Macaca mulatta: one gene and its partners. The main gene of each other region encodes a partner of the protein of the gene in region 3 in a complex. Links are inferred from orthologs where the notes say so. Each region holds a gene or a part of one and is shown on either strand. Other genes may lie near its edges.

Region 1 (3,748 bases), on a different chromosome or scaffold from region 3:
AGTGCGCTCCTTCCCTAAACGTTTTGGGAGCTCCTGGGACAGGAAATACGGCAATTCGTCCAGGCAGCGCAGAAACAAAGAGATAAATATGGTAACGCGCACCTACATTTCCAAGGACATTCTTTAAGCACGCATAAATTAAATATGTAATAGGTGCTGGGACCTAGTCATACCCAGGTGAATAAAACGCCCTCCCCCTCGTATCTCTATGAGGGAAGAGAAGAAAATTTTAAAATAGAAATATCCTCACCACTTCATCCTCCCAGTACATGAACTAGTTCGTTAAAGTGAAACGTTCGAAGGAGACACCTTCCTCTCTTTAGGCTTTCCTCTTAGTTTTGGTAAGATTAACCAAAATGATAGAAAAGTGTCAGACTTGTAGAAACAAACCTCAATCTTGAATACTTGCGAACTGAAAAAAAATCATTTAATTGGATAGAAACTATGTGTGTTTTGTTCCCTGGTACTAGCACTGTTTCTAAATCGAAGTACGCAGTCAATAGTTGTGGATGAATAAATGAATTGGATAAATTCTGCTCAAGCTAGATGACTTTTTGTTGTTAAGGTGCTTGCTGAATGGAGCGGAAATGCTAGCAATTCCACGTACACACAGACCCGCGGTTTCGGGCCAGTTGAAATACACAAGGTTGAGTCTTGCCTGAAAGTTTACCAATCCCGGGTAGCCTCATTCCACGACACCGCCATACAACGGAACTGAGTTTTCTCCCGATCCCCCAACTTTACTCTGAGGGGTTAACGAAGGGATTAACTGGTATTGAATTTTTAGACAGGCGAAAAGGAAAAAGTTATTTAGTAAACAAAACTGCGCTCCTTCACAAGTGCTGGTTTCCTAGCTAGGAGGATCCATAGTCTGAGCTCTTTACGTCCAATTTTCCCGCTTCCCACTGTCGCCAAACCAAAGTTAAAATGAGTCCTCTAGTCCTCTACGCGCGCCTCAAAATGACCCCTCAGGAGAGCGGTAGGGGTGATGTCATCGCTGCGCGACGACAGGAAGTAAGATACTGTCCTGTGCAGCTCGGGGTTCCGAGCTTCTGCCTCAGACATCGCCGCGATCTCCTCTCCCCTCCAATCCTATCCGTGATGGACGATGCCCGCGAGTCGCCCTCCGACAAAGGTGGAGAGACAGGGGAGTCGGATGAGACGGCCGCTGCGTCCGGGGACCCGGGGGCTACCGACACGGATGGAATCCCAGAGGAAACTGACGGAGACGCAGATGCGGACTTGAAAGAAGCTGCAGCGGAGGAAGGCGAGGTAGGAAGAGATGTATCGATGAGGCTGAAGGAATACCCAGAGATCGTGTTACTGGGTGCTTGCCGGGCTTCTGGTTAGTCCCTCCCAAGTTACGAGAACTCGAACTCACCAGAACTCCCTCCAGATCGTTAATCTTGAGGGGGAAGAGAGCGGACGACCAAACAGAACTCCAGTGCTGGTTCCGTTCCAGAGGCTCAAGCACTGCGTTAATATTTTTAGTCTTGTCAAGGGATTAAAGCTACTTCTAAGGGAGTTTTAATAGCCTATTGGCTTTAGTGGTGAGGAAACTGGGATCCAGTGTCACACTGAGACGCAGTGCAAGAGCTAAAACCCAGGATTCGTAGCACCCCTTTCACCGCAATATGGTTCGTCTTAGATGTTAAGACAACTTTGTTTCTTTATAGGAAGGAGGGTCGATCAAACCTGTCAAAGGGAGATAGACTTTTATAAAAGTGTCGCCCGGGCTGTAGTACAATGGCGCGATCTCTGGCTCACTGCAACCTCCGCCTCCCGGGTTCACGCGATTCTCTTGCTTCAGCCTCCCAAGTAGCTGGGATTACAGGCTCACACCACCATGCCCGGCTATTTTTTGTATTTTTATTAGAGACGGGGTTTTACCATGTTGGCCAGGCTGGTCTCGAACCCCTGACCTCGTGATCCGTCCGCCTCGGCCTCCCAAAGTGCTGGGATTACAGGCGTGAGCCACAGCACCCGGTGATCAGGGACCCATCAGTTGGGTCTGGTGTTTTTATGCTACAGAGAGTTCAGCAGTGTTGCCTAGCTGAACATTGGTCAGGACCAGAAACTCATCGTTCTCTGGATTACATTTCTGGAAGTAGAATCTTGGGGTCTTAGAGCTAGAAGGGATTTAAGAGATCGTGGGGTGAACAGTAGATTAGATGGAAATAGCCTTTCAGTGTATAAAGTTGCATAAAAATGTATAAAGTAAGAACTTTTAGAAAAAGAGAAAATTTGGCCGGGTGCAGTGGCTCACGCCTGTAATCTTTGGGAGGCGGAGGTGGGTGGATCGCCTGAGGTCAGGAGATCCCCAATATGGGGAAACCCTGTCTCTACTAAAAATACAAAAATTAGCTGGGCATGGTGGCAGGCGCCTGTAATCCCGGCTACTTAGGAGGCTGAGGCACAAGAATCGCTTGAACCTGGGAGGCAGAGGTTGCAGTGAGCCGAGATCGCACCACTGCACACCAGCTTGGGTGCCAGAGTGAAACTCCGTCTCGAAAAAAAGAAAAAGAGAACATTTGACAAAAGTATTTTAAGGCAGGTTTCTTTTTTTGTTTTTGTTTTTGTTTTTGAGACTGAGTACTCGCTCTGTCACCCAGGCTGGAATGTGCAGTGGCGCGATCTCGGCTCACTGCAAGCTCCTTTAAGGCAGTTTTTGTTGGTTTGTTGAGACAAGGTCTCACTCTGTCACCCAGCCTGGAGTGCAGTGGCACAGTCTCTGCCTCCTGGGCTCAAGCAACCCTCTTATCTCAGCGTCCGCAGTAACTGGGATTGCAAGCATACTGCACCACGCTCAGCTGAAGTTTTTGTATTGTTTTGTTTTGTTTTGTTTCGTTTTTGAGACGGAGTCTCGTTCTGTTGCCCAGGCTGGAGTGCAATGGCGCAATCTCGGCCTACTGCAACCTCCGCCTCCCAGGCTCAAGTGATTCTCCTGCCTCAGCCTCCCCAGTAACTGGGATTACAGGCACGTGCCACTGTGCCCAGCTAATTTTTGTATTTTTAGTAGAGCCAAGGTTTCACCAAGTTGCCCAGGCTGGTCTTGAACTCCTGACCTCATGATCCATCTGCCTCAGCCTCCCAAAGTTCTGGGATTATAGGCATGAGCCACCGCACCTGGCCAGCTAAAGGTTTTTTAAATATTGTTTTGGTAGAGACAAGGTCTCATTATATTGCCCAGTCTGGTCTCCAACTCACTGGGCTGAAGTAATCCTTCCGCCTCAGCCTCCCAAAGTGCTAAGATTACAGGTGGGAGCCACCATGCCTGGCCAAGAAGGAAACTTTAAAACAGGTGTCAAGGACAGCAAGGATTTGAATAATTAGCTTGGTACACTAGAGAGCTCACTACATATATAAATTTGCACCGAACAGAGGATAAAATTATGTTGTTTCTGAAACACTTTTAAAAATCAATCATGTACTAGACCATGAAGAAAAATATGAATTCTTAAAAGATATCATAACAGGCCACATCTTGTTAATGCAATGCATTAAACTTGAAATTAACTACAAAAAGCTTCTCCCCCACCAAAAAAGAACCCCCTGGAAATTTTAAACTACTTTTTAAATAGCCTTTAGACTAAAGAAATTAACAGAACACTTTATCAAATGATATGGGATTTGGCCAAAGCTTTATTTAAAGAAAAATGTATAGCCTTACATATTTTTATTAACAACCAGAAGATACTGCAAATAAGCACCTGACTCAAGAGACCAGATAAAGGGCCTAGTGGAGTGG
Region 2 (3,748 bases), on a different chromosome or scaffold from region 3:
AGAGGCGGGGTTTCGCCATGTTGGTTGGTGAGGCTGGTCTCTAATTCTTGACCTCGTGATCCGCCCTCCTCGGCCTCCCAAAGTGCTGGGGTTACAGGTGGGAGCCACCGCGCCTGTAAAACTTTTTATTGCATTTAAAAACTTTTTATTGCAATGTAATGTGTATGGGCCAGGTGCAGTGGCTCACGCCTGTAATCCCAGCACTCTGGGACGCCGAGGGGCGGATCACCTGAGATTAGGAGTTTGAGACCAGCCTGGCCAACATGACGAAACCCCGTCTCTACTGAAAATACAACAATTAGCCGGGCGTGGTGGCACATGCTTGTAATCCCAGCTACTCGGGAGGCTCAGGTAGGAGAATCGCTTGAACCCGGGAGGCGGAGGTTGCAGTGAGCTGAGATCGGGCCACTGTACTCCAGCCTGGGCGACAGAGCGAGACTCCGTCTCAAAAAATAAATAAGTAAATAAAAAAATGTAATGTAATGTAATGTATATGGTTAAAAGTTCATAAAGCATGCACCTTGATTAACTTTTACAAAAGTAAAAATTGCAAAAAAAAAAAAAAAAAAAAAAAAAGCACTATCCGGGTCAAAACGTAAAACATTACCAGTATCTTGGAAGCCTTCCTCTGGCAAATGGTATATACTTTTGAGTTAAATACGTGGATTCGAATGTTGACATTTGGACTTTCTTCTTGCGTGACTCTGGTAAGTTATTTAACCTTTCTTGGTTTCGGCAGAGCCATCTGTGGGGTGGGGATAATATTACCTCATAAGACTATTTAATTGTAGCCGGGCGTGGTGGCGCATGCCTGTAATCCTAGCTACTGGGGAGGCTGAGGCAGGAGAATCGCTTGAACAGCCTGGGCGACAAGAATGAAATTCCGTCTCAAAAAAAAAGAGAAAAAGATTATTGAATTGAAGGAGATCACATAATGTAAAACGTCTATCATAATGCCTAAATATAGCTGCTCTGCAATAAATGGCAATTATTATCAGAGAAATGTAATAGGTGTTCCCTATGCCCACTTCCTGCCTTTCTTTCGCCCGTTTTTGAAAGTTGCTCTCTTTCCTATTCCGTTTCTCCTTCCTTTTCGCCCCTCCTACTGCCGTAAATGGCCTACTAGAGTTGTCGTGAAATGCTCCTCCCCGCCCTCCATGTGGCGAAAATGCAATCACGCTTGACGGCGCAAGGTGGCTCAGCCGCAAGATGGCGGCGCTGGCGGAGGAGCAGACGGAGGTGGCGGTCAAGCTAGAGCCTGAGGGACCGCCAACGCTGCTACCTCCGCAGGCGGGGGACGGCGCAGGCGAGGGTAGCGGCGGCACTACCAACAACGGCCCTAACGGCGGCGGCGGGAACGTTGCGGCATCGTCGTCCACTGGCGGGGATGGCGGGACCCCCAAGCTCACGGTGGCTGTCTCCACCGCTGCCCCGGCGGGGGCGGCCCCGGTGCCTGCGGCTGCTCCGGAGGCCGGCGCTCCGCACGACCGACAGACTCTACTGGCCGTGCTGCAGTTCCTACGGCAGAGCAACCTCCGCGAGGCCGAAGAGGCGCTGCGCCGTGAGGCCCGGCTGCTGGAGGAGGCAGTGGCGGGCTCCGGAGCCCCGGGAGAGGTGGACAGCGTCGGCGCTGAGGTGGCCAGCGCGCTTCTCAGCCGGGTGACCGCCTCGGCCCCTGGCCCTGCGGCCCCCGACCCTCCGGGCACTGGCGCTTCGGGGGTCACGGCCGTCTCAGGTTCAGCCTCAGGTCCTGCGGCTCCGGGTAAAGGTAAGCCGTGGGGTTCCGGGGAGGCACGGCCGCCGCGAAGGGGAGCAAGCCGGTAAGGCAGGGGCTGGCAGGCCTGCACCTCTGCGGGCTTGTTTTGAATTTCCTGGGCCCGCCTCTAGGGCCACATGCCCGCCCCTTTCTCTAGTGCGCCGGCTGCGCAGTCAAACCCCCTTCCGAGCTGTCAGTTTCAGCGAGAGGCTGAGGAGAGCTGTTGAGCAGAGGGATGTATGGGAAGGTGAGCGCGGAGAGGCGGGGACCTTCACGCTTTTGGTCCCTTTCCTCTCATTTGGGCTTTTGAGCCTTGGGCAGGTCCGCCTGAGACTAACAGTGTTTGTACAGTTTCGTACTAGCGTACTTTAAGTTTTATAAGTACTTTATTTTCTCTTTATTTCTTTACTTCCTTTTAAAAGATGTGTTAATAAATACTTTATGGACTTTTTTTTTTTTTTTTTTTTTTTTTTTTTTTTGAGACGGAGCCTTGCTCTGTTGCCCAGGCTGGAGTGCAGTGGTGCGACCTCGGCTCACTGCAACCTCCGCCTCCTGGGTTCAGGCGATTCTCCTGCCTCAGCCTCGTAAGTAGCTGGGACTACAGGCTTCTACTACCACGGCCAGCTAATTTTTGTATTTTTAGTACAGCCAGGCTTTCACCATGTTGGTCTGGCTGGTCTCGAACTCCCGACCTCATATGATCCACCAGCCTCGGCCTCCCAAAGTGCTGGGATTACAGGCGTGAGCCACCGTGCCCAGCCACCATACAATATACCCTTGTAACAATCCTGCACGTCATGTACCCCCTGAATCTCAGCTAAAAGTTTTTTTTTTTTCTTTTCTTTTTTTTTTTTTCTGTGACGGAGTCTTGCTCTGTCGCTCAGGCTGGACTACAGTGGTGTAATCTCGGCTCACTGCAACCTCTGCCTCCTGGATTTAAGCGATTCTCCTGCCTCAGCCTCGCGAGTAGCTGGGACTACTGGCGCACGACACCACGCCCCGCTTAATTTTTTAAAAAGTATTTTTTGTAGAGACGGGGTTTCGCCATATTGGTCCGACTGGTCTTGAATTTCTGATCTCATGATCCACCCGCCTCGGCCTCTCAAAGTGCTGGGATTACAGGCATGAGCCACCGCACCCGACTGAAATTTTAAAGATATATATGGGCTGAGTACCACCAGTGTTAAGTCTTTGGAGGATGCAGGTTCCTGGGCATCACTTCAGACTTAGTGAATCAGATCCTCTAGAGGTGGAATCTGGGAATCTTCACTTTTGAATAAGAGCTTCTAAGGAGTGTTGACATAGGGCAGCTTGAGAACCATGTGTTTAGGCATGGGCATTGGACAGACCTTTTCGTCTTTGCTGCATTTACATGTGTGATGCTGATTGTCATTCTTTTCTTACCTTTTAATTTTTTTTTACCTTCCTATTGGCCGGGCGTGGTGGCTCATGCCTGTAATCTCAGCACTTTGGGAGGATGAAGCGGGTGGATCACCTGAGGTCAGGAGTTTGAGACCAGCCTGGCCAACATGGTGAAACCCCCTTTCTACTAAAAATACAAAAATTAGCCAGATGTGATGGCGCATGCCTGTAATCCCAGCTACTTGGGAGGCTGAGGCAGGAGAATTGCTTGAACCCGGGAGGCCGAGGTTGCAGTGAGCCAAGATTGCGCCACTGCACTTCAGCCTGGGTGATAGAGCAAGACTCTGTCTTAAAAAAAAAAAAATTTTTTTTTTACATTAATATTGTCAAGAGACAAGTCATTCTCATGTTGAATTTTCTCCCTTTATTACATGAGTGGTTATGAGGGTTTTTTTTTTTTTTTTTTTTTTTTTTGAGACGGAGTCTCGCTCTGTCGCCCAGGCTGGAGTGCAGTGGCCGGATCTCAGCTCACTGCAAGCTCCGCCTCCCGGGTCTACGCCATTCTCCTGCCACAGCCTCCCCAGTAGCTGGCACTACAGGCGCCCGCCACCTCGCCCGGCTAGTTTTTTC
Region 3 (3,748 bases):
GGAGTGCAGTGGCCGGATCTCAGCTCACTGCAAGCTCCGCCTCCCGGGTTTATGCCATTCTCCTGCCTCAGCCTCCCGAGTAGCTGGGATTACAGGCGCCCACCACCTCGCCCGGCTAGTTTTTTTTAATGTATTTTTAGTAGAGACGGGGTTTCACCGTGTTCGCCAGGATGGTCTCAATCTCCTGACCTTGTGATCCGCCCGTCTCGGCCTCCCAAAGTGCTGGGATTACAGGCTTGAGCCACCGCGCCCGGCCCACAGCTCTTTATACATTTTTTGGTGTGTTTGTGGGTTCTTCTCCATTTTACTGTGAACCTTACAGATGCTGGAACTGGGTCTGACTTGCATACCTAACATTCCAGCATACAGTAAAAAATAACAGTTCTCTCTTTTTTTTTTTGAGACAGAGTCTCGCTCTGTCACCCAGGCCGGAGTGCAGTGGCGCGATCTCGGCTCACTGCAACCTCCGCCCCTCCAGGTTTAAGCAGTTCTCTGCTTCAACCTCCGGAGTAGCGATTACAGACGCGTGCCACCACGCCCGGCTAATTGTTTTGTATTTTTAGTAGAGACGGGGTTTCACCATCTTGGCAAGGCTGGTCTTGAACTCCTGACCTCGTGATCCACCCGCCTCGGCCTCCCAAAGTGCTGGGATCACAGGCGTGAGCCACATAAAAGCAATTCTCACCAAGCATTTGACAGCAAAAAACTGTCCTGTAGAGAATGCTACAGGACAGGCTTTGGCTTAGTAGTGAGGTCTGAGTTCAAGCTGAGGCTCTGCACTTATTAGCTAGAATTTTGCTTAATCTCTCACAGGTCTCCTCTAACTGATTAAATGGCGTAACGGAGGTAAGCGGATTAGCACAATTCCTGGCAAACAGTCAGCAGTCAATTGTTATTACTGAATTGCCAGTTCACAGGCACAACCAACCGATCTGTCTCATCTCCCGGTTCCTGTGTTGCCAACTTCCTCGTTGAGGTTCAACAGGATACCTGTGGGGTAATGTGTCCCAGATGATATCCTGGTCCTGACACCATGACAAAGGCACCAACCAAAAATGGCGACCTCAAAGCCATCCGAGGGCGTCAATTACCCGTCATGCTACCGATGGATAAATAAGCAGAGTCGGGAAGAAAAGCTAGTGAAGGATTCTTAACGCCGGGGTGGAATACGCAGAGCTCGCTCATGCTGCCACTCAACTACAAGCAGTTAAAAGCGCAAGCTGCAGGCTACAGCTACACACAGCTCAAGATCGCCACCACGTGTCGGAGGGCAGTCTGCGCCTGCGCAAGCGAGGCGCGCGCCCGCCGGCCGGAAGAGCCGCGCGTTTCCGGGTTGGAGGCGGGGAGCGGTGCCGGAAGTAGTCGGGGAGGGCCGCGCAGTCGGACCGGCTGCTGAGACGAACGCTTCTCTGGGGCAGTCTCCGCATATCATGGGGAGATAGACGCTGCTGCCTGTGAGTCTTGGGCCCTGGCAGTTGAGGAACAAGAGCGGGAGGAGGGAGTCAGGACCCAGATCTACAGTAGGTCAGTGTTCGAAGGACCAGGTTGTGGACGAGACGGGGCTGTGAGGATTCAGGCTCTTGGGAAGGGACTGACAGAGGATCAGGCTCGGAGAAGACGCGGCTGTGGGGACCTGGGCTCCAAGACGGGACTTAGGGAACGGGGACGGATCTGAGTTCTCCGGCATCTGAGGGAAAGTGGTCTGAGAGGAGCAGGATTATGAGGACCCGCACTCCTACGAGGAGAGGGTCGGAAAGGAACGGGGTGTGAAGACACGGGCTCCGGAGAGGTAAAAGTGGAGCGGTGAGGACTTGGGCTTCTAAGAGGCAGAAGCGGGACAGTGAAGACCCGGCCTCCTAAGGATTCAGAAACGGGGCAGCGAAGACTCAGGTTCCTGAGGGGCAGAAGCAGACAGAGAAAACTTGAGTTTGGAAGGGAACAGAAGCGGGCAGTGAAGACTGGGGCTTCTTTGGGGACGGGATCCGGGCTTTGAGACTCCGAGTACCTGAGTCTCAGAACAGGGCGGTGAGGACCCAAGCTCCTAAAAGCCTTGGATCTAAGGGACCATGGATGTGAGATCAGCCTAGAAAGTAAAGGGAAAGGGTTTGGAAAAGATTTAGTGATCCATTTTTTTTTCCACAGTATTCCCTGAACCCAGAGAGATAAAGGACGTATTCAGGGGAAGACAACTTCTCCTTCGCACTGCCTGCTTGGCTCTTGGCAGGCTTTTCTTGTGTTAGATACTCAATCTAGGAAGCCCACATGCAAACATCTTCATTTTCTGCTTCATTCTTGGGAATCAGATGTGAAGTTGAAAACAGTTGGAACTCAGTTATATACTTGATAAGTGCTTTAAATCCCATTCCACTCAACCCTGAATGAGCACAGATCTCTGCATCTCAAGTAAAAGAATGTCAGTGATGGAAGAGTCCCAAAAGATCATCTTTTAAAAACTCCTATTTTACATTTAAGGAGGCTAAGGTTCAAAGAGGTTTAGGATTACAGTGAGGCAATGGTTAGATCATAATTTTAATACAGTACCCTTCTGTGCGTAGCAAATGAGATGCTTGGTTAATGTTCCTTAAATGCTTCCAGAATCTTTGCTTTATCTTCAAACTCAGGAGGGAATTTTTTTTTTTTTTTTTTTTTTTTTTTTTTTTTTTTTGAGACAGGTTCTCTCTCTGTTGCCCAGGCTGAAGTGCAGTGGCTCAATCTTGGCACCATGCACGTCAACCTCCTAGGCTCAAGCAATCTTCCCACCTATATATACCTCCTGAGTAGCTGGAACTACAGGCATGTGCCTCCACACCCTGCTAATTTTTAAATTTTTTGTAGAAACAGGATCTCACTATGTTGCCCAGGCTGGTCTCAAACTCCTAGGCTCAAGTGATCCTCCCACCTTGGTCTCCCAGAGTGCTGGGATTGCAGGCATGAGTCACTTCCCCCCGCTTCCAGTTTTCTTTTTTTGAGACAGAGTCACCCAGGCTGGCGTGCAGTGGCACGATCTCAGCTCACTGCAATCTCTGCTTCCCCGGTTCAAACGATTCTCCTGCCTCAGCCTCTCAAGTAGCTGGAATTACAGGTGTGTGCTACAATGCCCAGCTAATTTTTGTATTTTTAGTAGAGACAGGGTTTTACCATGTTGGCCAGGCTGGTTTCGAACTCCTGACCTAAAGTGATCTGCCCACCTCAGCCTCCCGAAGTGCTGGGATTATAGACATGAGCCACCACGCCTGGCCCAGTTTTTATTTCCAGTAAAAACTGGAAATTTTTACAGTTTCTGATACTTTGAGTGTTATTACTGCATTGACATTGATACAGTAAATGTCACTTAATAGTAAGGAAACCTTTATTTTTATTTTTATATTTTTGAGACAGGGTCTTGTTTTGTTGCCCATATTGGAGTGCAGTGGCATCATCATAGCTCACTGCAACCTATATTCTTGAGCTCAAGCACTCCTCCTGCCTCAGCCTCCTGGGTAGCTGGGACTACAGGTATGAGCCACTACACCCAGCTAATTTTTAAGTTTTTTTGTAGAGACGGTGTTTGGCTGTGTTGCCTAGGCTGGTGTTGAATTCTTGTCCTCAAGTGATTCTCCCACCTTGATATCCCAGAATGTTGGGATTATAGGCATGAGCCACTGCACCTGGCTGGAACCTTTAAATAAAGCTCAGTGTTATTTATTTATTTATTTAATAAGCTGTTTGGAAAGCCATAAATAAGTGTGTCCTGCATTTTTAGTGCAAA

The links. Proteins that work in one complex are often made in the same cells at the same time.
Region 1: TAF12 (region 3) and TAF11 share a complex: the UniProt entries of both Homo sapiens proteins name them as parts of the TFIID basal transcription factor complex. The link is inferred for Macaca mulatta from reciprocal best matches to the Homo sapiens genes TAF12 and TAF11.
Region 2: TAF12 (region 3) and TAF5 share a complex: the UniProt entries of both Homo sapiens proteins name them as parts of the TFIID basal transcription factor complex. The link is inferred for Macaca mulatta from reciprocal best matches to the Homo sapiens genes TAF12 and TAF5.

Annotation. Positions count from the first base shown.
Region 1 is NC_133409.1:147,388,380-147,392,127, forward strand, and holds the start of TAF11 (transcription initiation factor TFIID subunit 11), read left to right. Parts: upstream 1-1,067; 5' UTR 1,068-1,101; coding exon 1,102-1,272; intron 1,273-3,748. UniProt on the Homo sapiens protein: The TFIID basal transcription factor complex plays a major role in the initiation of RNA polymerase II (Pol II)-dependent transcription.
Region 2 is NC_133414.1:115,514,616-115,518,363, forward strand, and holds the start of TAF5 (transcription initiation factor TFIID subunit 5), read left to right. Parts: upstream 1-1,173; 5' UTR 1,174-1,209; coding exon 1,210-1,768; intron 1,769-3,748. UniProt on the Homo sapiens protein: The TFIID basal transcription factor complex plays a major role in the initiation of RNA polymerase II (Pol II)-dependent transcription.
Region 3 is NC_133406.1:212,257,863-212,261,610, forward strand, and holds the start of TAF12 (transcription initiation factor TFIID subunit 12), read left to right. Parts: upstream 1-1,360; 5' UTR 1,361-3,175; intron 3,176-3,748. UniProt on the Homo sapiens protein: The TFIID basal transcription factor complex plays a major role in the initiation of RNA polymerase II (Pol II)-dependent transcription.